4 linked regions of the Oreochromis niloticus genome follow. The protein of the gene in region 2 purifies or fractionates together with the protein of the main gene of each other region. This does not show direct contact. Links are inferred from orthologs where the notes say so. Each region holds a gene or a part of one and is shown on either strand. Other genes may lie near its edges.

Region 1 (7,863 bases), on a different chromosome or scaffold from region 2:
TTATTTATTTATCTTATATTTGGGGAAATGCTTTTAAGTCAACAAAGCAAAACTGAATTTTAACAGATGTGGAGGATTATTAAAACGTATTACGACCAGGATGACTTCCTGGATCTGTCCTTGTAGCAGTGAAGCTGACATGGGTGAAGGTATATTTTGCTGTTAACTGTAAGGTAGAGGCAGTAGAATAACATCTGCCTCCATCTCCTATCCCTTGAAGAAGATGCAAAGGACAGGACTGAGATGAGCTGTGGTGACCCCCTAAGGAGAGCAGCTGAAAGAAGAAGACAGACATTAAAATGTTAAATTGGCTGGGTCTTATATACTATAACGTTTTTCTTTTACTTGAACACTCACTGTGCTTCATACAGCTCGTCTCCTTCACCCATTCATAGAAGCACTTTTTAAATTGCTTTCTGTCTAACACTGACACTCTGATGGATGAGAGAAACTTGGTTAGTTGCCGAAGCTGCTCAAAATACAACTCAATATTGTAACACTTCTCCAGTCTGCATGCCAGGGATCAAACCACCAAGCTTCTGATTAGTAGATGACCTGCTCTACCTCTTGAGTTATAGTCACCCCACAGTGTTGGAGAGAGATTCCAAATTTAGTGGAGAGAAGACAGGGAAGCTGGGACAAAGAGCATGGGCAAGACACACAGTAAATGGCCTTGGGGCAGATTTGAACTTAGGCCTCTCTTAGGCAATAGCGTTACGGCACACGGGTCTCCTATACTGGTGTCTGAAATAACTTGATTTTATTTGGAAGAGACCTCCAGCTGAATCAGGCTCAGGCTGGAGCATATAGACAACAAGCAGGACTAAAAAAAGGTTAAGATCATGCAGTAGTGGCATATTAAACATATGGGGAGTGAAAAGATGGGAAATGGAGACTATATGCTCAGTGCATCATGAGAAGCCTCAGCCCAGCACCTTGAGCCTGTAGCAAAAAACAATTATGACTATCTTGTTAACTATAAGCTTTATCAATAAGGAAAGTTTAAATCCTAACTTTCAACGTAGAAGAGGTGTCTGTCTCCTGGATCCACTGGGGAGGATCTGACAGCTAAAGGCTCTGACTCCCATTCTACTTTTGGAAACTCCACAAATCATAAGCCTGCTAAGAGTGCTACTGGGATGATATTAAACTTTAAGGTCTTTAAGATAAGATGGCGGCTTTGTATGTGAGGAAAAGGATTTAAAATTCAGTTCTGGTTTTAACAAGAAGCCAGTGAAGAGAAGCCAGTATGGGGAAAAATATGATCTCTCTTTGTGGTCCCTGTCTGCACTCTCGTTGCAGCGTTTTGTTTTGTTTTGGTTTTCACTGAAGGCTTTATGGGAAGTTTTTAGGAGAACCTGACAGTAAGGAATTACAATGACCCAGCCTAGAAGTAAGAGATGCATGAACTTTTCACATCATGTGGTTTTTGTCACTGTTTTTACATGTATTATTATTTTTTCTTTCTTTCAGATGACGGATCTTTCCCCTATAAAACAAAGTATGAACAGCGGCACCGTGTTTCCTTAACGGAGCGATTCACAGAGGCCGACCTCAGAAGCCTCTCCGAACTTAATCCACCTGCTCTGATGCAGAACGGGAATGTGGGCACACCCGTAAAAGTGTTTCTCCAGCTCATCCAAGCCTGCCGCCTGCCTCCACGCCTCATTCGGAAACTGGGGCTCACTTTCCCCAAGACGAGTTCCAACCGTCGCTATGGGAACGTGCCCTTCCAGTACCATGACACTTGCACACTTCCAGCCACAGAACAGACTGTATTAACAGCTGCTGGACATGAAATATCAGGACCAGGTACTTTGCCTGGTTCATCCTTAGGATCGAGGCAGCTGGATGATAACACAGAAACCACTGAGGCTGATGAAGCACAGAAAGAAGACGCAGAGGAAGAGGATGCACAGTCGAATGCTGATGATGTAGGTTCAGTTCATACCTATCAACCAGCTGTCTGTCAGCGTGTCGGATAAATGTATTGGTTTTAGTTTGTGTCGGCTGTCCAATAGGCGCAGCCTAACTAAAACCATCATCCCTTTATTGTAGATGCTAATTTCTTCATGTGATTGATTGTAGGATGATGACTGCTGTGAGGAGTGGGAACGCCACGAGGCTTTGCATGAGGATGTAACAAGCCAGGAGCGAACCAAAGAGAGACTGTTTGAAGAAGAGATTGAGCTGAAGTGGGAAAAAGGAGGCTCAGGTCTGGTGTTCTACACTGATGCTCAGTACTGGCAAGAGGAAGAAGGAGGTAGGCACCAAAAACACTAATTCACTTTGAAGAAAAAGGCTTGCATACTATATAATGTTAATAAACGAGCAATGGGGTGTGCAGGTTATTAAGCAAACTTTAGGTAAAATAGGTGTGGAAAGGCAAACTGAAAGTGTGTGTATGTGTTAATTAGTATAAGAAATCAATTCAGTCGAGATGCTGAAAACAAAATTCTGCCTTACAATAACATACATTAAAAGATAATTGCAAATATACTCACTGGCCGCTTTGTTAGATACACCTCTTCAGTAGCTTGCTAATTCAAAAATTCCATCAGCCAATCACATGCCAGCAACTGAATGAGTTTAGGCATGCGAACGTGGTCAGGACGACCTGCTGAAGCTTAAACCAAGCATCAGAATAGGGAAGAAAGATCGTTTAAGTAACTTGAAACATAGTTGTTGCTATCAGACAGGTTGGCCTGAGTATTTCAGAAACTGCTGATCTTCCGGTGTTTTTCGCACACAACCATCTGTCGGGTTTACAGAAAACGGTCCAAAAACAAGAAAATATAAAGTGAGCAGCAAATTGTGGGTGAAAATGCCTCATTTGGTGTCAGAGGAGAACAACCAGACAACAGTAGTTTAAATAATCACTTGTTACAAAAAGGGGGGGCAGAACAGCATCTCTGAACATGTTAAACCTTGAAGCAGATGGGCTGCAGCAGCAGATGTCCACACTGAGTGCCACTCCTGTCTGCTAAGAACAGGAAACTGATGTTCACAAAAGTTCAACAACTCTGGGCAAAAGAAGACTGGAAAAAAACTTTGGAAACATTGGAACATCAGAATTGGGAGTAACCAACATGAAAGCATGGATTCATCCTGCCTTGTGTCAACGGTTCAGGTTGCTGGGGTGTGGAATATTTTCTTAGCACACTTTGGGATTCTTCGTACCAACTGACCATCATTTAAATGTCACAGTCTACTTTTGTGTTGCTACTCACCATGTAGATCCATCTTTTTGACCACAGTGTACCCATTTCCAGCAGAATACAAGCCATGTGAAAACACTGAGATCATCATAAACTGGTTTCTTGAACATGACAATGAGTTCATTGTACTCAAATGGCAGTCACCAGATCTCAATTCAATAGAGGGATGTGGTGTAACCAGAGATTTACATCATGAACAAATAGCTAACAAAACAAAAGCGACTGTGTGATTACATTCATGTGTGTTTCTCTCGTTTTTCAGACTTTGATGAACAAACTGCCGATGACTGGGATGTTGACATGAGTGTTTACTATGATAAAGGTAACTTTTTTTTTTTTTTTTTTACCCTAATTAACTAAACTGTGCTCTATTAATGCAGGGTCAGATTTCCTTTAACCAAGTCCTTTTACAGATGGAGGTGACATGGATGCTCGAGATTACGTCACAATGCGGTATGAAAAGAGGCTTAGGGAGGGTCATGAAGATGGATCGGGGCACAATCAGTCTATTGGCCGCTTTGAGAGGTTCACTAAGGTGAGGAGGTTGCCATCACATATAACTTAATCTAATCTTTCCTCTTGTTACACGTCAGATAAATGCACATATATTTTTTCTCTGATTAGGGCTTTGGGCGTCGTGTGATGGAGAAACAGGGCTGGAGGGAAGGTGAAGGCCTGGGAAACAGCCAGATTGGAATTTCTGAAGCACTTGAAAATGAGGGGCAACATCCCAACTGTAAAAGAGGCTTTGGGTGAGCATGAGCACAATCAACTAAAGCTGCGTCTACGCTGGAAACAATTCCCTTTTCGACTTTGCTCTGCAGCTGACGGCAGGTCGCTTGTTCCAGGCTCAAGTGTCAATCAATACTGCTATTCTTCACTCTCATTGGTAGTTGTTTCGATCCTATGGAGGAAGTTAAAAGAAGTTAACATAAGTTTACATCCAACCCGCTTCCCATCGCCAGCAGTTATTTCGGCCTTAGTCACTTGAAACTGCAGGATGTCACTCACTTTGCTTCCAGTGTGGATGCTTAACAGCCACCTTCTAATATAATTTTAAGCTTTGGTATGTGAGGCAGGTGATGCTGATGCTGTGGGGGGTTTTTCCTTTTCTTTTTTGCAGGTATCATGGAGAGAAATTGGTCTTACATCCTGTAAAAAAGGCCAGAACAGATTATCATATAACTACAGTGTATGATAAACCCAAAGACATAGACAGAGGCGATACCTTGCTGAGACGGCAGCCGAACACAAGTATGAAGTACAGAGGGTGGCAACCAGGTGGCAGCATTGGCCCACAAAGATCACAAAGATGACTTTAATAAAATTTTATTGAAACCATTTTAACGTCATGGAAGTCTTTTTTTTTTTTTTTAAACACACACCTATATCTGTATCTATAGATATATATATGTATATGTTAAAATCCTTTTTTTCATGTGATTAGTGTCTCTAATTTTTAATCTCACACAAAGTCTAGTTTTCCTATATTAACTTATATACATGTGTATAAATTGTACCAAGCTATTAATCACGGAATAATGTGGTGTGTGAGCAAGGATGAGATGATTTAGAAAAAAATGTAGTCTGAAATTAGTCCTGCACGTCACGCCATGTTAACAACCGGCTTTTATTTTGACACGCCAGTTACGTAACTCGGATGTACTTCCGAGTAGCGTTAGCATGTGTTAGCGACTTCTATACGCATGTAAATATAGCGTCAGCAAACGGTAAATATCAGTCAGTATTGCTGTAATTTACAGTAAAAGTCAGCATTATATTAAGCAACTGCACATATGTTTTGAGTAGACTTACGATTTATCGTACATAAACCTTTAAATAGCTACTTTGTACAAGTCTTGTCTGACCGGAGTGGATGGCAGGTCCAGGTTTATTTAGTGTTTAATGAGTTTTTAATGTAGTTGGTGGAAGAAAAACTGAACTCTTGATACCAAATCCTGTGACCCTGCCAGCCAACACCCCATTTGGTACTCTGCACAGGACATCCTAGCACCATCTAATGCGAGTCTGAAGCCATGTCCAAGCAGACACAAGTGAAGCCCTCCCTGCGTTTCGGTCAGGTGGTTATTGGGCCCCCGGGTTCGGGGAAAACCACCTACTGCCAAGGGATGCAAGAGTTTCTGACTCACCTGGGACGCAAGGTGGTGGTTGTAAACATGGATCCAGCCAATGAAGGGATACCTTATTCATGTGCGGTAGATGTCTCAGAGCTGGTGACTTTGGACGATGTCATGGAAGGTTTAAAGCTGGGGCCCAATGGTGGACTTCTCTACTGCATGGAGTACGTGGAAGCAAATCTGGACTGGTTGGAGGAGAAGCTGAAACAGTACAGTGACTGTTACTTCTTGTTTGACTGTCCTGGACAGGTGGAGCTCTACACCCACCAGAGCTCAGTGAAGAATATCTTCTCACAGCTGGCCAAGTGGAATTTCAGGGTGAGCTTCATCATTATTATCGTATTTCTGCTGAGCCTTCACAGGTACTACCTTACCCACACAGCCATCATGTAGACACAGCTTTAATACAACAAGGTGAATTCATAATAACATCATAAGATAAATTTTGTGCGGATGTCCTCTCTTTTAGCTCACAGCGGTGCACCTCGTGGACTCTCATTACTGTGCTGATCCAGCCAAGTTCATTTCGGTGCTGTGCACCTCGCTGTCTACAATGCTGCATGTCGAGCTTCCCCATGTCAATGTTCTCTCCAAGATGGACTTGATGGAGCAGTATGGCAAGCTGGGTGAGTTAATAAGGGTTTGCTTTAAACACATTTTACAGGCTGTAGTCAGAGATTATCTGATTTGTGCTGGATAAATGTTCTAAGACAGTGAGATTAAGACATTAAAGGTGTTTTTACAAATCACATTTCTTTGTTTCCCTTGTAAGAAAGTAGGATGAAAGAAAAAAAACTATACCGGCATTGTTTGCCAGCTGATTTGTTGAATTTCACAACTGGTTGCTATTCATCATCATCCTTGGTAACATTTGTCTTGTATTCTTTTCCAGCCTTCAACCTTGACTTCTACACAGAGGTCATGGACCTGACCTATCTTCTCGATCACTTGGCTGCAGACCCCTTCTTTAAAAAATTCCGCCACCTAAATGAAAAGTTGGCAGAGGTCGTACAAGATTACAGCCTTGTGTCCTTTGTCCCTCTCAATGTACAGGTACCAGTGCTGCTTTTGGTATTAACTGCAAAAGAAGAGCTGGTAATGTCTGTTTAACTCCCAGTAAATTAGAATATGCTTCGGTGAATTAAATAAATAAAATAAGCTGCTTTCACACATGAAGTTCTGGCAGTTTTGGGAGAATCTAGTGGGGATAATTTCCACAGTTATCCTTTCTCACAGTCTCAGTCTGCTTCAGATGTGCTGGCCTGCCTTATTCACACATGCCAACATCACACGGGCTTTGCACTGGGGAGTTTGTTGGTTAAAGACCAGTGGAATGTGTAATACATTGCTCTAATGTTGAGTGACTAACAGTATCCAACATTTCCTACACTTATATCGAGAACTGACACCACAAGATTTCAGTTTGGGGGTGGCACTGTCGCCTCACAGCAAAAGGGCTCCTGGTTCCAACCTGACGGCCAGCTGGAGCCTTTCAGTGTGCAGTTTGCATGTTCTCTCTGTGCTCGTGTGGGCTCTCTCCGGGTACTCCAGCATCCTCCCACAGTCCAAAGACCTACACGTTAGGTTAAACTGGCTATATAGTGTGAGTGATTGTCTATCTCTGTGTCAGGGACTGGGGACCTGTCCGGGATGTACCCCATCCAGCGATAGCTGGGATACGTGCCAGCCCTGACACAACCCTGAATTGGATTAGCGGTTAAGAAAGTGTGTGGATGGATGGGTTCAGTTTGTGTGGACCACTAAAAGGTCTAGAGAGTACGCATAAAAAACAAATGCCATGTCTTGACAGTGAACTCGACAGATTTTCATTGTTATCACTTAATTAATGTATCTACATCTTTATTTGCATGCTTCTGTTAGATGTTGAGTGCAAAACAAGAGTTCTTTCTTCTGAAGTAGTCATAAAGCATCCATACTGACCAGACGTCATGGTTCATTTGTGTTAGCCCTTTAAGTGTTTCTAAAAGTCACATGCCTCATATTTCATTGTTTGAACCGTTAAATCATAAATCGCTTTTAGCGTTTCAAATTGAAGGTTGGATCAATTTTGTGCAGATGGATTGGGGGAGAGGGCTGTCTGCACTCTGCACTCGTTGCCTGACATCGCTTCTTTATAGAGAGTGATTTGATCCTGTGTGTTCATGGAGACAGGAGTCTAGACCATGTGCCATCACTGCATGTGGCACCAGTGAGTTATACATGAGGCGGGTTGGCACTCATGCTTTGTACATGCTCTTAGTTTAAGCAGCCATTAGTTACCTTGGTTACCCACTTATGGTGCCTAAAGCAGCCAAAAATAAAAGAGCTTTCGACTTTGAGAAAGAGAGAAATGCAAAGCTGCAAAGTGTTAGAGGTCAGCGAAGTTTGAGGATTTATTGCTTTGCATGTGCGTGCTGCTTATGTCATTATGACACCTTATAACACACAAAGAAGAATCTGAGAAATGTGTGCTTACACATTTTCAAAAAGGCTTTGTCATCCTCTTT
Region 2 (6,157 bases):
AAAAATAATATTAATGATGTGTCCCAGCTAGTGAAGGAAAAAGGTAATTTTCTTCCATATCCTGTGTTGTGAGGACCTGTGATGTTCCCATATCTGTGAGCGAACACAGTACAGTGTTTCATGATGACACAAATGGACCAAATATACAGACAGCACTGAATAAAGATGTTCTCAGAGATGCCATTAATATACTGGATAAAACATATATGATTCATTGTCCTATAACTCCTCACTGTGAGTTTTACTGGAACAGTAACTTTATGAATATTAATGAGTCATTGATATGGACTTACAATAAGAAGTATTTAATCACCAACAACGTCGAATAACAAACCAATTTATTAAAACTATAGAAATGATCTGGATGAATCTTGTACTGTAAAACTGTAAAACAGTCAGTGAAACAATTCTACATCTTTTTGAATGATGTATTTCATTTTTTAACACATACACTACATTTAATGTTTTCTTTTTATTTTCATTGTCTGTGAAGGTTCTCAGTCATCCAGGTCATAGTCTAAGGAGCTTGGAAAGAAAGCAGCAAGAAGGACACATATACAAACAAACAGTACACAAGACACAGAACAGAAACATACACAATTTTTACATATTTACATCAACGACAATGGTTACCAAAAACAGAGTACTGTACCGTTATTAAATTAAATAAAATGAAATACAGATAAGAGGCAAACCCTGGTTATAGTGTAAATCGGCTGATAAAATAGTGCAAGTTACAGCGCTGATGTAAACCTCTATGTTTGTTGGGAGCAGTTTTGGTTGTACAGTCTGACAGCTGCAGGGAGGAGGGACCTGCGGAAACACTCCTTCATGCATCGAGGATGCAGCAGTCTGTCAGTGAAGGAGCTCTGCAGTTCAGCAGCATTTACATGCATGGGGTGGGAGACTCTGTGCATCAGAGATGTTATTTTGGCCAGAGTCCTTCTGTCTCCCACCACCTGCACTGAGTCCAGGGTGCATCCCAGAACAGAGTTGGCCTTCCTGATGAGTTTATCCAACCTCTTCCTCTCAGCTGCCGATAAACTGTTGCTCCAACATACAACACTGTAAAAAATGACAGATGCCACCACAGAGTCATAGAAGGTCTTTAAAAGAAGCGCTCCTTGGACTCCCCTGTGGGGCCCCCGTACTGCTGACCAGCGTGTCAGAGACACAGACCTGTGACCTCACATACTGTGGACGTTCTGTGAGGTAGTCCAGTATCCACTGGGACATGTGGTGGTCCACTCCCGAAAGCTCCAGCTTGTCCCTCAGAAGTCGTGGCTGGATGGTGTTGAAAGCACTGGAGAAATCAAAGAACATGATCCTCACAGTGCTTCCAGGCTTCTCCAGGTGAGTCAGAGCTCGGTGAGGGAGGTAGATGATGGCGTCCTCCACCCCGATGCCAGGCTGGTAAGCAAACTGCAGTGGATCCAATGAAGACCTCACCAGGGGGCGCAGATGGTTCAGAACCAACCTCTCGAGGGCCTTCATCAGATGCGATGTCAGGGCTACCGGCCTGTAGCTGCTGAGGTCCTTGGGATGGGAGGTCTTTGGTACCGGTACCACACAAGATGTCTTCCACAGCTGTGGTACTTTCCCCAGTGACAGATTCAGGTTGAACAGATATCCTAGGATGCCACACAGTTCATCTGCGCAGCACCTCAGGAGCCTGGAGCTGATGCCATCTGGACCTGCAGCCTTCCGCACCTTGATCTTGCGAAGCTCGTTCCTCACTTGAAGTGCTGAGATAGAAAGAGTGGATTTTGGGGAGGGGGTGTATGTTGGAGTCCACAGAAGCCGGGGGTGGGTGTAATGACTGGGAGCTGGGAGGTGTGAAGCTGAGAGGTGTGAAGCTCTGAGATGAAGGACAGGCAGTCCCTGAAGATGAGGGAGATTGCAGCAGGGGGGACGATGCTGGGGGAGGGGTGGGTGGTTGATCAAACCTATTAAAATATTTATTTAGGTCAGCGGTCCCCAACCCCCGGGCCTCGGACCGGTACCGGGCCACGAGAGTTGAGGCTCAGGTGTGAAATGTATGGTTTTCAGGGTTTTTATCGGTTTTCAGCGTTATTCTGTTATCGTTTTTATTGTTAACTCGGTTTTCCTGGGTCTTTTCATGTGTGTTATGAATAAATCTTTTTTTCGGTACCGGTACTAGTTTTATTTTGTTGTATTTATCCGTGACACCTTAAAGGCCGGTCCGTGAAAATATTGTCGGGCATAAACCGGTCCGTGGCGCAAAAAAGGTTGGGGACCGCTGATTTAGGTCATTCACCCACCCCAAGTCTCCTGCAGCCTGGGGGGTTGGTTTTTGTCCTGAGATTGTCTTCAGGCTGTTCCAAACCCCTCTGATGTTGTCCTGTTGCAGCTGCTCTTCCATCTTCCTCCTGTAGTTTTCCTTTCCTTGCCTTATCTTCCATTTCAGCTTCTTCTGGACAACTCTCAGCTCCTGTTTGTCTCCAGATCTAAAGACTCTCTTCTTCTCCTTGAGGAGAGCCTTAATTTCAGGATTTATCCATGGCTTGTTTTTTGAAAAACACTGTACCTTTATGATGGGTACGGTGTTGTCCACACAGAAGTTCATGTAATCCGTAATGCAGTCTGTGATGCTGTTGAGGTCATCCTCCAGGGGGCTGCAGAGGTTGTCCCACACAGTAGAACGGAAACAGTCCCTCAGGGCCTCTTCAGTCTCTGCCGACCATTTCCTTACTGTGCGTTTCACAACTGGTTCTCTTTGTACTAGAGGTTTATACGCAGGCTGGAGATGAACCAGGTTGTGATCTGAGCCCCCCAGGGGAGGGAGAGGTGATGAGTTGTATGCCTCCTTGGTGTTGGCATACAATAAGTCCAATGTTTTATTGTCTCTGGTATGGCAGGTAACATACTGGATGAAGGTGGGGAGAGTGGAGGACAGGGAGATGTGATTAAAGTCCCCACAGATCAGGAAAAGGGCCTGAGGGTGCTGTGTTTGGAGTCTGCTGGTTACAGTGTGCAGGACCTCACAGGCTGCTCTTGAATACTGTTAGCTGTTCAATGGGCAGAAGACATGAAACCGTTAAAAGCAGTTATTTGTTCAGACTCAGGCTCGTCATTGGTCAGTTTACAGAGTAGCTGCTCAGAAAGCAGAGCACATGTCCTAGCAGAGATTCAGCAACACTTCACAGAATACACATGACGAGACTTACAGGTGTGTTTTTATGGATTCCAGCTCACTGTGAAGTCAGAGCAAATGAAATGGCAGATAGAGCTGCAAAGGAAGCCACAAAACATGGGGTAGTTGACCTGGGTATTAGCTTCTGTCAGACAGAGGTAAAGAGTATGGTAAGGCAAGAAACAAAAAAAAGATGGCAAAAACAGTGGGAGGAGGAAAAGAGGGGACGGTGGTTGGATAAAATCCAAAGGAGGGTAGGAGAAATGAGGAGCACAGAAAGGAGTAGGAAAGAGGAGGTGGCCATATCGAGAATAAGATTAGAACATACTGGTTTGAACACTACACTAGTCATGATAGGGAAACATAATACAGGGAATTGTGACGACTGTGGAGAAGAGGAAACGATAGAACATGTTATATTAGACTGTCAGAAGTATCAGGTGGAGAGAAGACAACTGACCCAAAACCTCAGCAATATGAAAATGAAACTAGTTCTTATTGATTTTCTGCAAAAGGACTCGAGAAGTGAAAGTTATCAGGCCTTATCCCAGTTTTTAAAAGAGAGTAAATTGCTTGGGAGCATTTGAGGGGTTTGGGGGGTTTTTTGAGCGACGTTCCAGTCCCCACTCCACACCAGTTGGAGGCGGTAATGCACCATTCAGTTGTTTGCCAACCGCCAATAAACCCTATACAGAAGAAGAAGAAGAAGAAGCAGCCGCAGCAGCAGTGAACAGGTAAGATGAACGCGCCTCCCGCTTTCGAGTCGTTCCTGCTGTTCGAAGGGGAGAAAAAGATCAGCATCAGCAAGGACACCAAAGTCCCGAACGCCTGCCTGTTCACCCTGAACAAGGAGGACCACACGCTGGGCAACATCATCCGAGCGTAAGGCCCCGAGACACGGCCGCAAAGGCATCACACCGCTACATCCAGGCTAACAACAGGCTAACCTCAGGCTAACAACAGCCCGCTAAAGTCATCCGAGCGTAAGGGTCCCAGACCCGGCTTCACAGCTGGCTAAGTTGAGGCTAACAGCCACACAAATGCTGAGCAGCGGCTCAGAGATAGATGCTAACACGCAGCCTGCAGGTGTTTCAATCTTACAGGTAGCGTAGGAGGTGTTTTACAGAAAACCAGAACATAGTCTTGGAATATTTGATCTCTACTTGCTTTTTGTTTTTTAATAAATCATGACATGCTGCTGATGGGAAACAGGTCTTAGTGTAAGCCACCACAGGTGGCTGTCCCAGTGCCTGATCATAAAATCAGCAAAGTTAATGAACTGATCCTCAAATATTCTTCCGTCAGACTGTCATGTGAGCTGCACACACACCATTCACACTAAACTGCTCATCCTTACAGTCTGTCCACCAATCAAATGACTTTCTCTGTGTGTGTGTGTGGTCAGTCAGCTGCTGAAGGACCCTCAGGTTCTGTTTGCTGGTTATAAAGTTCCTCATCCTCTGGAGCACAAGATCGTCATCAGAGTGCAGACCACACCTGACTACAGCCCACAGGTAACACGCACACACCTGTGGGATATTCCAGGAAGTATGTTCATCAGACTCTGAGTTTCCTGTTCCAGAAGGGTGATCAGTTAGTTCATTCAGCTCTGAGTGTGTTCCCACTGAGTTATGTGCATGCGTACCTATTACAGACGTCTCAGCTTCTACAGGATCAGGATATTTCAGGATAGTTTTGGAAGAATGACACATTTTAAATCAGGAATAGAGATCAGAGCAGAGCTGCAAACGGATCCAGACGGGATCAGCTGGGAAATGACCGAGCAGACCTGGATCTGGGATTGAGCCGATCTGAATCCGTGATCGAAAATCCATTTTGGATCCGTCCTGCCGTGCAAGTGGACTCGGTTTGCTGATCCGTCATGGAGCCCATGTTCTGGCTGATCTGGTTCTGGGTCGACCCGCAGAGGCTGATTCAGGTGATGTTCAGTGGAAAATCTGCCCAGGCTGTTTGACTTTAAATGACCGAACCTCAATCTGATTACATTTCAATGTGAAATGTAATCAGATTACAATCAGACTGTCTGCAGTGACTTTAAACACATTTAGTTCAGCTTTAGTTTTAAAGCCATCTCAGCCTGAACGTCACTCAAATAAGATCCATTTATCCATCAGAGTGATTGATTATAATAAGAGTGTTACCATGGTAACTGACCTTCTGGAACAGAAAACCCAAGTTTCCCTCATCTCAGGGTTAAACTAAACCTGTTTCCTGGAACACACTTCTGATTACAGCTCTTAGTTACAGGAAGTGAAATTAAATGACAGGAAATGATGTTGTTCCTGACAGGAAGCGTTCACGAACGCTATCACTGACCTGATCAGCGAGCTGTCACTGCTGGAGGAACGCTTCAGAGTCGCCATCAAAGACAAACAGGAAGGCATAGAGTGACCCCGCCCCATCGTGATGTCACTTCCAGTTACCTGTCCTCTGTTTGTCTTCTGTTTTTTTTAAATAAAGCCTGTGATGCCATATCCTGATGAGTGTGTGTGACATACCTGTAGCTCAGGCGGTGGCTGCTTGCAGCTGATTGAAGTTTAAAGTGCTGGTCAACATTTTCCTGTGTTTGTTTTAACAGATCATTAGACAGAACTTAGCACAAATTATTTGTTTGCAAACAATAATAGAGAGAAGAAATACTCTGATCATTATCACCCTTACAAAAACAGCTTTTTCTTCATCTACATCACAAACCTGCTGTGCAGTGACCTGATTACCTCAAAGCTTAAAGCTCCGGTTCAGTTTTTTTCATATATAAGTATATTTAGTTAGGAAAATGAAGAAAGGTTAATTGTATTTCGGTAAGTGCAAGTACTGTGTTGTTTTCTTTTTATTAATAAAAATATTTGCCAAAAAAAAAAAGCTCCTGTTCATACTGAGTTTACCAGTTTATAATTTATATTTGCGTTCCAGTTATGAAAATGATTCATTAAATATGTTTTCATAGAAAAAGTCCAACTCTTCCCACTTGGGTTTTATTTA
Region 3 (8,004 bases), on a different chromosome or scaffold from region 2:
GCTGGTGACCTTCGTGTGTCAGCAACTCACACTTCAGCCTGAACGTAGAAGTTACAGCCAAGATCAACGTCTGTCTTCAGCTGCTGAGAGCCCGCCTCCTGCAGGAACACAAAGAAGCGTGTGACTTTCATTCACTCGTGGAACAGGCGGCCCAAGCTCAGAGAAAAAAATACTCCATCTCAGTGTCTACAGGCCTCAGACAGCATGTTAGAGGTTAACGTTCATGACATGACAGTTAGAAAAGAGACTGAATGAGTTTGGCTTGTTTGGCGGGGTTTCCACAGAAAAATATATCAGTGAATATGTAAGAAGCTCGGAAAGAAAAGTGACTGAAGACGTTTCATCCGGAAAGATTCTTCAGTTCTAAGACCAAATGTTGGACAGTTCAAAGTATTAAATCACATGAGCCAAGGTGTGTGATGGGGCACATGATTAATAGTCGGGTCAACGACCCTCTTATGGGACAACTCCCACTAGGACTTAAAGACCTGGGACTCTTCACCGTTTAGTTTTAGAACTGAAGAAGCTTCTTGGATGAAACGTCTTCAAGAAACTTAAAGAAGTCGAGTCGCTTTTCTTTCCAAGCTCCTTAGATTACCATGACCTGGATGACTGAAAACCTACACAGACATCAATGATTATGAGAGTGATTTAAAAAAATATCTGAAAACTAAAATAAAAACGTCCATCCTCTAAATAAAATAAAAACAAATAAAAAATTATTTTTTTAAATATCTGAAAAGTGGAGGTAAAATGTCTGAATGTTTTGATTTTCCAGCTGTAGTTTCAGGCTCTTTGATCCAGACGATGGAGGTTTGGGTTCACAGCTCTCGGCCTAATGAGCCACATGTATTGATCTGCTGGATAAACAGCTGCAGTGAGGCTCAGCTGTATTGATGGAGGTCCGATAAGCTCCACCATCTTTCCTCACAGAAGAGTGTGCTGAATTACAGAAACAGCTCACACAGAGAAGCTACAGAGAGAGATGTCTGTATTGGCAGAGCTCAGTCTGCAGCTCATTAACCAGCAGACAGAAGCATTTAACATTAACAGAGAATGACAGCCAGCACAAACACTACAACGATCTCCAGTTTGATGTGGAAATCTCTTCTTTTCTAAACTGAAAAACCTACAGATCTTCAAAATAACACAGTACATTTTGTGTGCGTTTACCTGCAGACTCTGTATGGTGTTCTTCAGCTGCAGGTACTGAGAGATCTTCTCATAAACCTGATCCCTCTGCTCCACCACCTTCCTGCCAAACGACAGCCGTCACTTGATTTACAGAGAACATTAACGCCTTCAGATGCACCAAAATAATTCAAACAGCCTAAACACGCCAAGAAAATCTGATTCAAAGCACCAAACAGCATTTCAGACACCTGAACTCTTTAGTCTGTGTCACTGAACACTCAGATGCCAACCTGAAGAACCACATAAATACCTGTAAGATTAGATCTACCCTTCTTATCCATCACACATGTGTACTTATAATAGATTCAAGCTCATTATTGTATCCTTTCTATATAACTGAGCTCCTTCTTAGGTGTAGTTTTTAGATTTTTGCACCATTTTGTTCTGTAACTGTACAAAGTAATTTCTGTATTTCTTTTCTTACACCCTAATAAAATTGTCAGTGTTCACATTAAACACAACCAGTCGGGTCTGTGCATGTACAAGTAACCCATGTGAACCAAAGGCTAACGCCTTAGATTGCTCTAAATACTTTTTCAAGTCTTGAATCTGTATGATGTCATTGAGAGGAGATATCCCTATTATAGCCCACCCACCCGCTGTCTGGGGAGCTAAACCAGTCATGTCATAGGCAAAAAAGAATTATTTTGAACTATGAATCATGCAAAGCTACTCTAGTGTCATAGTGTTCAAGAAAAACAATATAAAGCTGTAAATTAACAAAACTGATCCACTTTAAATAAGATGGTCTGAGGCTGCTTCTAATGGAGCTGTGAAGGAGCTTGTTGACCCAATTGCCAAGTGTACTCCACAGTTTTCCTAAACAGCTTGTGTCCCTGGATGTGCTTCGCACTCTGTTAGCTCATGCTGAGCTCTGCTCTGCAGTACTGGCTGCAGAATGTGAAGCAGTAAGAGGTTTCCTCTTAGTGTGGTCAAAACGCTCCAGTTCTGTCTGGTTTGTTGCCCCAGTTGTTGCAGTGCTGGCACAGCAGTGACATGTATAACAATCCCACTGTATTAAAAACACATTGCACGCAAAGGCTGTCTTGACAACGTCTACATGCCTAAATGAATTGAGTTGCTGCTACATGAATCGCTGATAAGATATTTGGGTTGAGCAGGTATTCCTAAAAAAGCAACTTGTGAGTGTAAATATTTAATAATCAGTCTGCAAGTAATTAAGGCACGGAGGGGGACCAAAATGACACCAGCACTATTATACAATCAGCAGCTGTGAGACTTGACCTTTATTAGGCTGTTAATTAAGCTTTAAATGACTTTAATTTGTAGTCACTCCTCATTGACCTTCATATCGCCTCTACTACCTGTTCAAAGTCTGCCTGGATAAAAATCTGAGTTCATAAACTCATATCTACACAAGTATTTTGCACTACTTTAACTACAGATTACATTTCTTTTACTTTAGTTTTTAAAGTTCTGTAACTGAATAAAGCTCTCTGTAAGGACATAATAAACTGTGTTCAGACATCAGCTGTAGTGTCTTCTTACTGTAAGTCTCTCTTCAGGACTTCGTTGATGAAGGTTTCATACTGCAGGACCTTCTGGTCCACGTTAGGTCTAGCTGTGGCATTGTCGGGAGCAGACATTTCTTCACTGTCTTCTCTTTAAAAGAAGCTACAAATAACAGAAAAAACATTCGGTTGAGCTGCGGATAAAGTCCAGCTGCGAACTGCCCGATCTCTCTGTCGTAAACTTTAATGTTTCTGCACACCAAACTCTCCGGCTAGCATGCCTAAGACAGGACGTAAACACGCCACTCTACACCGGATGAGAAGAAAGTGTGAACAAGTACTTCCGGGTTTCAAAATGAACCCAAAGAATAGATTTAGTGAAAACAGAAAAGACGAAACGACAGCAACGCTGCAAAAGCTTGTCAATTAATGATAGCATAAACTCGGAAACTCTAAAAAAAATTTCTTACTTTATTTTTTAATATAGTAGAATAGAAGGCCTTTTTCGTTATGTAGAATACCAGTACGGAGTGAATTATTTTTATTCTTTATCCTGCTGCTGTAAAACAAACATTTCCCAATTGGATTCAGAAAAGTCTGTCTGTCGGTCAGGGAAATTTGAAGCATTTTCCTGAGCAGATTATAAATTTTAGACACATCAAGTACATCTCTATGCAGTTCAAAAGACTTGCTTTATAAACCAAAAAATAAACTAAATTGCTTTTTAATCATTAATCGAATCAAATGTTCAAGTCAAATTGTTAAGTTTGTACGTTAAAAAATGAAACAGCAAACAAGAACAAAAAAAGAATCAAAAATAAAATAAAACAAAATAAAACGTTGATTCTGGTTAATGCTTTCTACCTGCTCTGGCTCTATGGAGGTCCTGTCTCATGACGTCACTGTAAACAAACATGGCAGACCACGGGCGGCTCTGTAGCTAGCTACTGTAACACGAAACAATTATTAAAACGTCCTGAATGAAAATGCGTATTAAAAAAATTAAATATCGTCGTTTTTGTAGTTTCTTTCTTAACAAGCGTGCGTGTCAAGCCGGCAGCAGAAGTTAAACAGTAACAGGTTTTAAAATTTTAGCTGGGTTATCTGAGTTAAGACGTTGCCAAGGCAACGTTAGCCAACAGCTAGCTGTCTCGCTTCCCGTGGTCAGGATTTATTTTCTGAGAGACTTTTCTTTACAGCTGTTTGTTGTTGCATATGTAATATAAGCCGAATTTAAGTTAACGGTTTAAAGTTTTACTGGGCTTAAAATAATAGTTTAATAACTGTATCTTATTGAGCAATCGTGCGCAGCATCGTGAACGGCTTAATTTTTGAGTGAAGTTCGAGGTTTGCGTTCCTCTCTCTGGTTTGCTGTTCCAAGGAGCTGATTTGTATATCATTGGGGGTTTACTTCAAACCACACACTCTTTGAATTAACAAAAACATCAGTGAGAGTTGTGACCAGATTAAATCCAGATTAACTGAAGCTGTTTTAAACGCTCATGAAAACATGGAGCAGTATAACATTCTGGGTCGGACAGGAGAAGGAGCTCATGGCATAGTCTTCAAGGCCAAACATATTGAGGTGACGGACTGGTGCTTTTATGTCTGCATCTTACTTCATTTCTTTTTTTTTTCTTTTTTTCTTTTTTTTGTAATCCGATCAGCATTAAATTTGGGGTCTAACCTCAGCGGCTTAGATATGTGACATGGAAATGTTCTTGTGTGTCAGACAGGGGAGACGGTGGCTCTGAAGAAAGTGGCTCTGAGGAGGCTGGAAGACGGCATTCCGAACCAGGCTCTAAGGGAGATTAAAGCACTGCAGGAGATCAAGGACAACGAGCATGTGAGTGAATGTGCAGACAGTTTTTACAGATAAGAGTCATTTTAATCTTAAAATTTGATTAGTGTTTAGCAGCACGGTGGTGCGGTGGGTAGCACTGCTGCCTCACAGCAAGAAGGTCCTGAGTATGAGTTCGACTCCCTTCTGTGTGGAGTTTGCGTGTTCTCCCTGGGTTCTCTCCGGGTACACTGGCTTCCTCCCACAGTCCAGAGACATGCAGTTAGTGGGGTTAGGTTAATTGGTTATTCTAAATTGCCCATAGGTGTGAATGTGAGTACAAATAGTTGTATGTCTCTATGTGTTAGCCCTGCAACAGACTGCCCACCTGTCCAGGGTGTACCCTGCCTCTTGCCCTATGGTAGCTGGGATATGCTCCAGCTCCCCTGGTGGCTGGGGGGATGTCACAAACAAAATATAACAGAAACCAAAAATTAGTACATGGAAAACATAGACGATCAAAGCAGAGCAGCAAGAAAAGAGCCAAGCATAACAGACATGTTAATAAAAAGGAGATTAGGCTATATGAGAAAATTATAAGAAGCTGCAGAGTGTCTGGAGTCTGAAGGGATGCAGGACTTCTTTCTGTGACTTTCTCCTCAGGTGGTGAAGCTGAAGGACGTCTTTCCTCACGGCACGGGCTTCGTCCTGGTGTTCGACTTCATGCTGTCTGACCTCTCTGAGGTCATAAGGAATTCCCAGCGCCCTCTGACCCCTGCGCAGGTCAAAAGTTACATGATGATGTTGCTGAAGGGCGTGGCCTTCCTGCATCACAACAATGTCATGCACCGGGTGAGCGCAGCTAACAGTTATTATCATTAATGAGTCATCTGACTGTTTTCTCAGTGAATCCTGTGTTTGTAACAAGCAACACTTAAGCATACAAGGTTATTTAAATACTGTTGGTTATTCATAATAAATGAAAAGCTGAAAATATGGGAAATGCTAAAAAACTGAATAGTTGCTGCAGTCTGAGGTGTTGCAGGAGGAGGTGAGAAGGTGGTGTTCGGGTTTCTTTTCTTTAACAAAATAAATCAAACCAATTATAAAATGACGTTTGTGTGTTTGCAGGACCTGAAACCAGCAAACCTGCTCATCAGCTCCTCAGGCCACCTGAAGATTGCAGACTTTGGTCTGGCCCGGCTGTTCAGCGAGCAGGGAGAGAGGCTGTACAGCCACCAGGTGGCCACCAGGTAAATAGGATAAGATGAGATTAAATAAGAAATACTTTATTTAGCAGGTAGCTTTAGCTAATCAAAATAAAATACAGTATGACTTACCAAAAGAACTCAGTGAGGTAAAAAACACGAAGAGCAAAATGCTCATTTAAATAGAAAAATGACAGTAAAATGAAAGATCTCAAGTGAAAATTTAAATGCAATATAATGAACCTAAAAGTAAGTACTTTTGTATATAAAATGCAGTAATGCAGTATCTGAATGGCTGAATGTAATACAGAAAATGGCTCTATAAAGTAAGCACAAGCACAGCATTAGCTTTAGTGCTGCTGGGAAAAATCCATGTGGTGACATGGAAAATGCAGTCAGTTGATACTTTAAATATTCACTCAGACTTGCTTTAAAGCTCAACTGGTGAACAAATGTGTCACAGAACAGATTCACATATTCAGATTTGAGGTGCTCATTACACCAGTAAATAATAATCATGTTAAAGTCGCCATGTCATGTGACTTGTTGGTTCAGTTCATTCTAAAATAATCACCACTTTCAACTGGATATTACTGATACTTTATCAGTAATGTGCAGTAAATGCACTGAGCTACATTTGACCACTGTGTGTGTTTAGATGGTACAGAGCCCCTGAGCTGCTGTACGGAGCCCGAAAGTACGACGAGGGAGTCGACCTGTGGTGAGTACAACCCTGAAAACGCTGCTAAAAGTAGCGCCCACACTATTATTTTTTTGCTGTTGTTCGATCATTATAGCTTACATTACATTATATACATTTACGTTACATAGTACTTGTTTAACCTGGCATTCGAGGCTAATTAGTGTGATTTTCATCTGGCTCTGCATTTATATTATGTCATTATTTTATATCTGTAATTTATATTTTATATTGTGATTTTATCTGTATCATGGTTTTACTGGAAAGCACTTTGGTCTTTAAATGTGCTGTACAAATAAATTTGATTTGATTATCTACTGTGAATCCTCTGCTGATTAGCTTTTACTCAATAAACCTAGATGCTTTTGTTTCTGTTGTGCCTGCTTGTATTCTTTTCCTGTATCAGCATATTTTATTATATATTACTCTTTAACATACTATGTAACATGGGACCATATAATAAGAAAGAGTAAGCTTGTAGCTTCAGTACACGCTAACTCTGTTAGTGTTCACAGTTCCTGCTCAGGTGTAAATTGGTCCAGTGATCAGAGATGAACAGCAGGGGGCAGCAGCAGTCTGAAGTCATGGCTTACTGTTTAGTCCGTGTGTGCGCTTGTGTGTGTGTTTCAGGGCGGTCGGCTGTATTTTTGGGGAGCTGTTGAACTCGTCTCCTCTGTTTCCTGGAGAGAACGACATCGAGCAGCTCTGCTGTGTCCTCAGAGTGCTGGGAACCCCGACTCAGGACAGCTGGCCTGTAAGATACACACTGGTTTTTCCATCACTTCAGGGGACGTTACATTAATATACATTCATTTTCTTCTCGATCTTTTTTTGTATTAGGTTAAGTATTAAGCTTTATATCAAAGTATCATCTCACACATTCTGTCTTTTATATAAAAGACATATCGTGAAAATGTAAACACAATGAGGATGTAAAATAAACTGGAACACTGCCTAATTTCCACATGTATTCACTCAGTGTATTCACACTGTGGTAGTGTTTACTCTTTCATCTTTGGACATAGTGCATATAAATGTCCGCCCACATCCACGTTCATTAACTTTAAATGTGCTAAAAAGACGCAATGTGTTATTTTTTAAAATAATGTTTTTCAGTGCATAGTCAACATCATAATCATCATCAGTATATTATTATATGTGATAGGCCTGCAATCATCTGCCTGAAATATTGGTTGGCCTCCGTTTAGCTTTATTTAAAATGTTTAAATGTTTTTAGACTAGCAGTAAATGATGATGAATATGTAGAGAAATTAAATCGGACCTAAAACTGATCCTTGTGGCACTCCAAACCAAACTGATAAAAGAAACTGTGTGTGTTTACTCTAAAAACCTACAACTGTTTGAAGTCTGGCGACATCTTTGTGGTCTGTGTGAGATTTTATCTGAAGGCTAAGGTAAAATAATTCACTCTGCGAAGTTTAATTTTGTCTTGTTTTTTTCTTCTATGGCTGTGAAACTGGTTAAAACATTTTAATCCCTCTCCTGTCTGTCTCCAGGAGATAGTGGAGTTGCCAGATTACAATAAAATCACCTTTAAGGAGAATCCAGCAATCCCATTGGAGGAAATCGTCCCTGACATGCCCCCTCAGGCAGTGGACCTGCTCTATAAGTTCCTGGTGTATCCATCTA
Region 4 (6,868 bases), on a different chromosome or scaffold from region 2:
GAGGTGTTTTCTCACTCTGGTTTCTGACTGTGCTTCTGCAGACATGAAGCACAGAGGTTTGATGTTGAGCCTGTTCAGTGTGAACCAACTCATCTCTATCCCATCCAACCCCCATCACCTGATCATCCTCTATCACCTGTGAAACTCCCATCACCCACTGAACTACTGTCACCCACACAGCCTTTATCACCCACTCATCCTCTATCACTTAGACCAAACCCTTCCTCCATAGCGCCCTCATCCCTGGCACAACCCTCATCATCACCTCCCATTCAACATCCATCGCTCTCCCTAACACTGCCCACTCAGCCAAGGACGTTTAAGCTTAATAACCCTCCCCCCAGCAGGCTAGAGTCAAGTTTACTAAGGTACACTCCTGTCCAGTACAGCCGCTTCCTGGATTCCAACCCCACACAGGAGCGTGGGACATTCTCCTACATCCACCCATCTGAGTCTGAAGCTGGTGTCAGTCCGGTCCAGCCTGGAGGAGACGAGCTGGACGCACAAACAAGCAGAGGCACATGCTCCATACCAGAGGAGTCCACTTCATCCCCACCTTCTTCTCGACCACGATCAGGAGTGCGAGTTTATACACCGTTCATGAAACTAATGGAAATGACAGCAAAGATAAACATAGAGTAAAGTTAAAGGAGCAGTCCTGGAAAATACATGAGCCCAGACTTAATCAAGGAGAGTCAATGAAACTATGAAGCCATTTAGCTTAGTATAATTACTGAAAACAGGGTAAACAAGTAACGCACAAACTTCTTTTTATAAGCAATAAAAACAGCCTGAAAACGGGAAATTAGAGTAAAAACAACATTTTATCAAACTGGGAGAGGAAAAAAACCTGGAAATGAATAGAAACTCATGGAAGTCATTGTCCCCAGTTACGAACTAGTTTGATCCAGATTCCCTGTCAGATGGTGGCTTCGTTTCCATGTGGATGACAACACGAGTTAACAGTTTAATTACTTTTCTTTAAACTTGTTGACAGATGGATTTTATTTTCTCTTTCCTCTATTTTTTTGTATCAGTGCTAAGTACAGAGCTAATCTGTATATCAACAGTAAATATGTAGCTAAAGCTAAATAATAGTATCCTCTAACTCAGTCTATGTGTGCTGAGAAAGAGACAAGCGTATTAAAAAACTGGTTGGAGTAGTGCAGTAGTAACATCTTTTATTATTCTCTTACTTGACCTTAACGTTTGCATACTATACTACCATAAAATTTTTGACAGCAAATTGTAAAAAATAACAGTCTTAAAAACAAATTTTGATAATGTAATATGATAACATTACTCTGTGTTGGTATAACATAGAGTAACATTAACTTTAGGATTAAAAGTGAAAACGCAGTGACGTAAAGTCAGGTAAGCCATTAAAACATCAGCTAGTGTGCTTCAAGAATACCACTGACTCACTATGCAAGAAATAATAGTATGTAAATAAACTACGTGGACAGAACTACCAACCTAGCTGCACATTACTCACGTTTTGATATCCCCGTGTTGATGATGTCCCTATATCATCATAATAATGGTGATCCAGCATCAACATTACACCTGACCAATGACAAAGGAGCATTTAGTTAGCCGAGCATTAGCTTAGAATTTGGCTAATGCCTAGCTAATGCTTGTTAATGCCAGTTAGCTAACAGCCAACCTAACTTGATAATGTATTTATTACATTGCATAACTTTATAAAGAAAATATTTAATAAAACACAAAGTGATTGGTCAGTTGCAATGTTGATCCTGGACCAACATTATTATGATAATGCAGGGACAACAGGAACACTGGGATAACAGACACAACACACAGCACACCTACAGGAGCTGCTCTGCCATGTAAACCCATGCAACAGTAGCATTAAAGTGTGCTCTTTGGAACAACCAATTCTTTGTACATGCAGACTGCCTGGCCAGGTATTTGACTTTATACACCTGAATTCAAGTATTAATAAGAATGGCCCAATATTTATGTCCATGTAGTGAATATAAGAGGGTTACTTATGCAATCAGAGCCGTTAATCTTAACTAGACCAAAGTGTGGAATTTTCCCCTTAAACTTCGATTGTCTTTGGTCTAATTTTCACAAATATCCCTTTAAAAATGTACTAACACAAGAATCTGTTTTACATAATTTTAAAGCTGGCACATCCATGTCAGTAATATCTCACTTATTTATGTCGGAGATAATGATTTTTGGCCAGTGAAGCAAAAAAGTCTTATGTGGGTTTCTGTCCCATGTTTGCACATAGCTCTAATAATAACAAAAGTAGCTTGCTGTAGGATGTAAATGATGTGATGCTATGTAAAAAATATTTTTCTAACTGATATAATATGGAATATATTTCTTCCGTTTACAGTGAATCTGTTCTATTCATGTTGCTCACTGAGCTATGAGCATTCAGTCCTATATGAAGGTCGATATGGTTATTGTGTGTATTTTCCTATCATTTTATATGTGCTCTGTACAAATTAAACATATGATATTTTGTTACTGTTGATAATATAATATTTATTATTATGGTTTGTGCCTTTGTGACAACCTACTCTGTGGTCCTGGTGGTGGAAGGAAAGCTATTTTAATTGGAAGCAGGGTAATATGGCAAAATAGGACGTGGCAAATTCTTGAGAAATCTGTTATTAACGATATTAACTTTAATAAGGTGACTGCCGTTCCTGAGCCACTGGCACAAGTGTTATCCAGGTGTCATCTGTACTGCCACAGCTGTGTTTGAAATAGTTTTATGATGTGCCTTTTCCTCGTTGATACATATAATACTGCGATTAACGATGAGAGGCCAGCATCTGTTTGGATAATAAAGACTGTGCAAATGATCCTGAATGTGTCACAAGATGGCTGCACTTACAAGAAAGAGTCTTTTAAAATCGGTTTGTATTTCTTTTATTTAGTCACACACTTTTATATAAACATGCATGAATGGCATGAATGTGTGTCTACAGTGTAATTCTAGGGCTTTTTATGATTGCATGTGCACATATCTTTAAATTATCAATTTGTAGTTGCTGCAAGTTATTCACTGCATAATGAGCTGTGCATTGAGTAATCAAAATGAGCCATGATATTTGCCCACACCAGTCATGATCAGGAATGTGGAGCTGATATAACAAGAGCTACAACAAAAGAATAATTTACAGGTTAGTGCTATGAAGGGCTGAAAGAAGTAAAAAAAAATCTTTGATTTTCAGCTGAGATGTCCGTGCATCCATATGTGTGAAACTGCATGAGGACAGCAAGACTTTGGTGACAGAGAGAAGCTGAGGGATGAAGAAGAAATTAAACATTTTGGAGGATTAGGGCAGGACTAAAATAATAAAACTTAATGCTTACTTTGATTACAACTGATTAATAAGGATAAGCGTGAAAAAAGAAGCATTTCTCTTTTTGACAGTATCTGGGATACTTGAGAAATAGGTCTTGGAATAATACATTCTGGAAAAATGGGAAACTTTAAACTTTGACTTAGAGTCTGAACTCTAAAGGTAAAGTCAGAGACTTTGTTCCAACTGTACAGCTGCAACCAAAACTGACTTTGAACTTTGACACAGGCTGGAGAGGACACAGCTGTGTTTGGGTCATTCATTGTCAGTTGAGCTGAGTGAGAAGTGGATCGGAAAACATCCGGACAGGAAATGCAGCTGTGGAAAATCTGAGACACCAGCCCAGTCCAGACTCTGTACTAATCGCACTGCTAAGAGAGAAAGCTCTTGCATCCAGGCTGGTTACCACGTTTGACCGGCAGAGGGCAGCAAATAAGCCTCACAGTCTTTACAGGGAAGAGGTGTGTTACCGTGTCCCGTTCAGTGGGGGCGATAGAGGGCTATTTTTTTCACACAGGAAGAAGAAGAAGGGTCCCACTTTGAAATGTTGTGTCATGTGTTGAAGAAGTGAATTAGTCACTTAAGGAGTTTTCTGAAGCTCTCTAATAATAAAGGAATCAATCAACCGGTAGATTTACCGTAAACCTTCGTGTTTACGGTGAAGTTTAAAGCGGGCTCGTGCTGTTGTGGATGGCTGTAGCTAGCTTACTTTAGCTAACAGTGATGTCCTCGTCGTGGACAGAGCGCCAGGGAGAGGTGGGAGACCTGGGACACCTGAGTAAAGAAGAACTACAGGAACTGCTACTCCGACAAGAAAGGATACTCAGTAACAAGTAAGTTTAATCCTTAGGTTGTATGAGAGAAACGTGACACTTATGCGCACGGCCATCCCGTTAGCTTTGATCCGGTTTGATAAAGTGACTTCTCTGTGTTCAGGAATATGCACTGAAACTAAGACAGAGGATCTACTGACAACGTGTTTATATCAGTCCACTTTGGCTCAGGTGAAAATATGAAATGCTTTTGTAAAAAACGATGCACAGGCGACACTACTCTGCTGTAACACGGGGTAAAAAACAAAACAAACACACACCACTCTCGGTCACTTTGTTAGGTACACCTGTAAAACTCGTTGTCAAGGTATCACGTGACAGCAACACGGTGCATTTTGGCCTGTAGACATGGTCAACAGCACCTGCTGAAGTTCGGTTTACAGATAATGATCCAAAAAAGATAAAATATCCAGTAAGCGACAGTTCACTGGGTGAAAATGTCTTATTGTTGCCAGAGAAGAATGGCCAGTGTATTTTGAGCTGATAGGAAGGAAAATAACTACTCCTGACAACCAAGGTATGCAGAAGAACATCTCTGAAGGCGCAAATGTCCAACCTTCAAGCAGACAGGCTACAACAGCAGAAGACCACACTGGGTGACACTCTTATTAACTAAGAACAGAAAATTGAGACTTTACTTAGTACAGGCTTATTAATAAAAGACTGGAAACATGCTGTCTTGTCTGTAAAATTTCAGTTTCTGCTGCGATCAGACATTGGCTTAAACATGAAAGCCTGGATGCATCCTGCTTTGTATGAACAGTTAAGGGAGCTAGTTGTGGAAACAATAATGATGATAATGTTAGGGACATTTTCATGACACACTTTAGGCACCTTAGCACCAGTTGAGCATCATTTAAACTCTGTAGCCTACCAGGGTATTGTCGGTGACCATTTCCATACTTTTATGACCCATCTTCTGATGGCTGTTTCTTGTAGAATAATACATCATGTCATGGAGCTCAAATCATTTCAAAGTGGTTTCTTGAACATGACAGTAAGCTCACTGTACTCAAATGGCCCCACAGCAAGTTTGTGTTATAGTTAACTAAAACTAGATGTAAAAAAACCGAAACATTTTATTTAACTAAAATAAAAATGTGGGGCTGTTTTCTAAACACGGGTGCAGTCATTTCAGAATAAGGTGCAAAAAAAATTTTTTTTTTCAGATCTAAATATGTAGTTTGTAGTAAAACACATGTTGCTGGCGTTGGTAAATCAGATTTTATGCTTTATTTAAATTTTCTACTCCCTATATTTCACACCTTGACAAAGAAACTCTTTTTTAAATACTTTTTTTAAATGCCAAAACCCAGTTGTGCTGGTGCAACATGCTGGTAAATCTGGCTTTAGATCATCATCACTGCATTAGTATCAGCTTTGACTGCCATTATCAACAATTAAGAGGAAAACATGGCATGTAAGACTTTTTCTTATTTGGGGTCAGGGAGGGGTTACAGACGTGTATGTGTCTGACATTTAGTGTGGCTCTGGTTGTGTATCGAAATATTGTTTGTAGAATATTTTTGCAATGATACGTTTGTGTTGTTTGCAGGAGGTTATTGCAGACTCTACCTGACAAAGGGAAAAAGATAAAAGACTTTGCAGATAAAGTGCGTCTTGCCATTGATGATCACAGTGAGGAGGAGAGGAGACGAAGCCTAGTGTCTGTTGCGAGGACAGAGTTACAGTCCAAGTACCAGCAGGCTTTTGCTCACCGGCGTGCTGCCTCCATCACACCAGCAGCCTCACATCAAAACAGGCAAAATGAGGCTGCTGCACAGGAGAGCGAGACCTCACCTGCCTCAGCGCAAGTGCAACAAAACCACACTTTGGACGAGCAACGAGAGTCGTTTGTCTCCGGAGCGACTGCTGTGGAAACCATGGAAACGGCAGCTCGTGGGGCCTCTGTGAACTCTGATGAAACAAAAGAGGGTGACCTTGTGGAGGCCCTGGAAAGGGTCACGGTGTCTGGAACTACTACTGGTGGCAGCAGCGAATCCAAAGAGCCATTAAACAGCAGTGCAAGAGACAATTACTTTCTCAGAAAGCAACCACCAAAGAAGCCTCACTATATAACTGTCCTGGAAAAAACAGAGAAGTCTGCAGCTCCCAGGAAGCAAAAATTTAAACCAAATCAGTGAGTGGACTTTATTTACTACTTCCTGAACATTTCCAACAAAAATGCTCCAATAATCCAGATTTTATTCAGTAAGACGTTTGACATAGTTCTGCCTTTTTGTCCTCTGTGTAAGTTAGCTGAGTGTAAATAATATGCACCTTAATGTGTTTCCAGGCTGCCTCATAGAAGTGACGTCTCTCCATCAGGATCCTCGTCACCCAGTCAGTCCTCCGAAGGCTCATCGCCACTGTCTGCGCAAGCCAGGAGGGAGCGGGACAGAAAACACCTGGATGACATCACTGCTGCCAAACTCCCCCCTCTCCATCACAATCCAGCCCAGCTCCTATCTCTGGAGGAGTCAGCCGCACTGCTGAAGGAGCAAACCAAGAAACAGCTGGTTAGTGAGGCCGAGTGCCTTTCTAAGGAGGCTAAACAGGCTGGGTGGAAACAGCCAGTGCCTCACTAGATCACTTAGCAATATGGTTCAACCAAAGCTGTTCTGAATGTCTCCTTTTATACAAGAAATACATTTTTAATACACATAAGTTATATGTAATATTTGG

Evidence for each region.
Region 1: the proteins of polr2j (region 2) and gpn2 purify together in Homo sapiens (affinity purification with mass spectrometry; 3 studies listed by BioGRID and IntAct, counting the BioPlex papers as one, with this or other methods). This does not show direct contact. The link is inferred for Oreochromis niloticus from reciprocal best matches to the Homo sapiens genes POLR2J and GPN2.
Region 3: the proteins of polr2j (region 2) and uxt purify together in Homo sapiens (affinity purification with mass spectrometry; 3 studies listed by BioGRID and IntAct, with this or other methods). This does not show direct contact. The link is inferred for Oreochromis niloticus from reciprocal best matches to the Homo sapiens genes POLR2J and UXT.
Region 4: the proteins of polr2j (region 2) and polr2m purify together in Homo sapiens (affinity purification with mass spectrometry; 3 studies listed by BioGRID and IntAct, counting the BioPlex papers as one, with this or other methods). This does not show direct contact. The link is inferred for Oreochromis niloticus from reciprocal best matches to the Homo sapiens genes POLR2J and POLR2M.

Annotation. Positions count from the first base shown.
Region 1 is NC_031976.2:7,480,797-7,488,659, reverse strand, and holds the start of gpn2 (GPN-loop GTPase 2), read left to right. Parts: upstream 1-4,846; 5' UTR 4,847-4,948; exon of another isoform or gene 4,949-5,219; 5' UTR 5,220-5,254; coding exon 5,255-5,674; intron 5,675-5,825; coding exon 5,826-5,982; intron 5,983-6,248; coding exon 6,249-6,409; intron 6,410-7,863. Other genes in the region: gpatch3 (G patch domain-containing protein 3), read left to right, coding at 1,474-1,934, 2,089-2,263, 3,481-3,540, 3,632-3,753, 3,843-3,970, 4,342-4,534. UniProt on the Homo sapiens protein: Small GTPase required for proper localization of RNA polymerase II and III (RNAPII and RNAPIII). May act at an RNAP assembly step prior to nuclear import.
Region 2 is NC_031970.2:1,173,933-1,180,089, forward strand, and holds polr2j (DNA-directed RNA polymerase II subunit RPB11-a), read left to right. Parts: upstream 1-3,837; 5' UTR 3,838-3,893; coding exon 3,894-4,036; intron 4,037-4,559; coding exon 4,560-4,668; intron 4,669-5,464; coding exon 5,465-5,566; 3' UTR 5,567-5,649; downstream 5,650-6,157. UniProt on the Homo sapiens protein: Core component of RNA polymerase II (Pol II), a DNA-dependent RNA polymerase which synthesizes mRNA precursors and many functional non-coding RNAs using the four ribonucleoside triphosphates as substrates.
Region 3 is NC_031984.2:4,340,660-4,348,663, reverse strand, and holds the start of uxt (protein UXT), read right to left. Parts: upstream 3,006-8,004; 5' UTR 2,802-3,005; coding exon 2,704-2,801; intron 1,256-2,703; coding exon 1,174-1,255; intron 99-1,173; coding exon 31-98; intron 1-30. Other genes in the region: cdk20 (cyclin-dependent kinase 20), read left to right, coding at 4,177-4,251, 4,399-4,512, 5,110-5,298, 5,578-5,699, 6,313-6,375, 6,985-7,108, 7,872-8,004. UniProt on the Homo sapiens protein: Involved in gene transcription regulation. Acts in concert with the corepressor URI1 to regulate androgen receptor AR-mediated transcription. Together with URI1, associates with chromatin to the NKX3-1 promoter region.
Region 4 is NC_031965.2:22,183,081-22,189,948, reverse strand, and holds the start of polr2m (protein GRINL1A), read left to right. Parts: upstream 1-3,849; 5' UTR 3,850-4,073; coding exon 4,074-4,183; intron 4,184-5,738; coding exon 5,739-6,323; intron 6,324-6,479; coding exon 6,480-6,702; intron 6,703-6,868. Other genes in the region: myzap (myocardial zonula adherens protein), read left to right, coding at 42-642.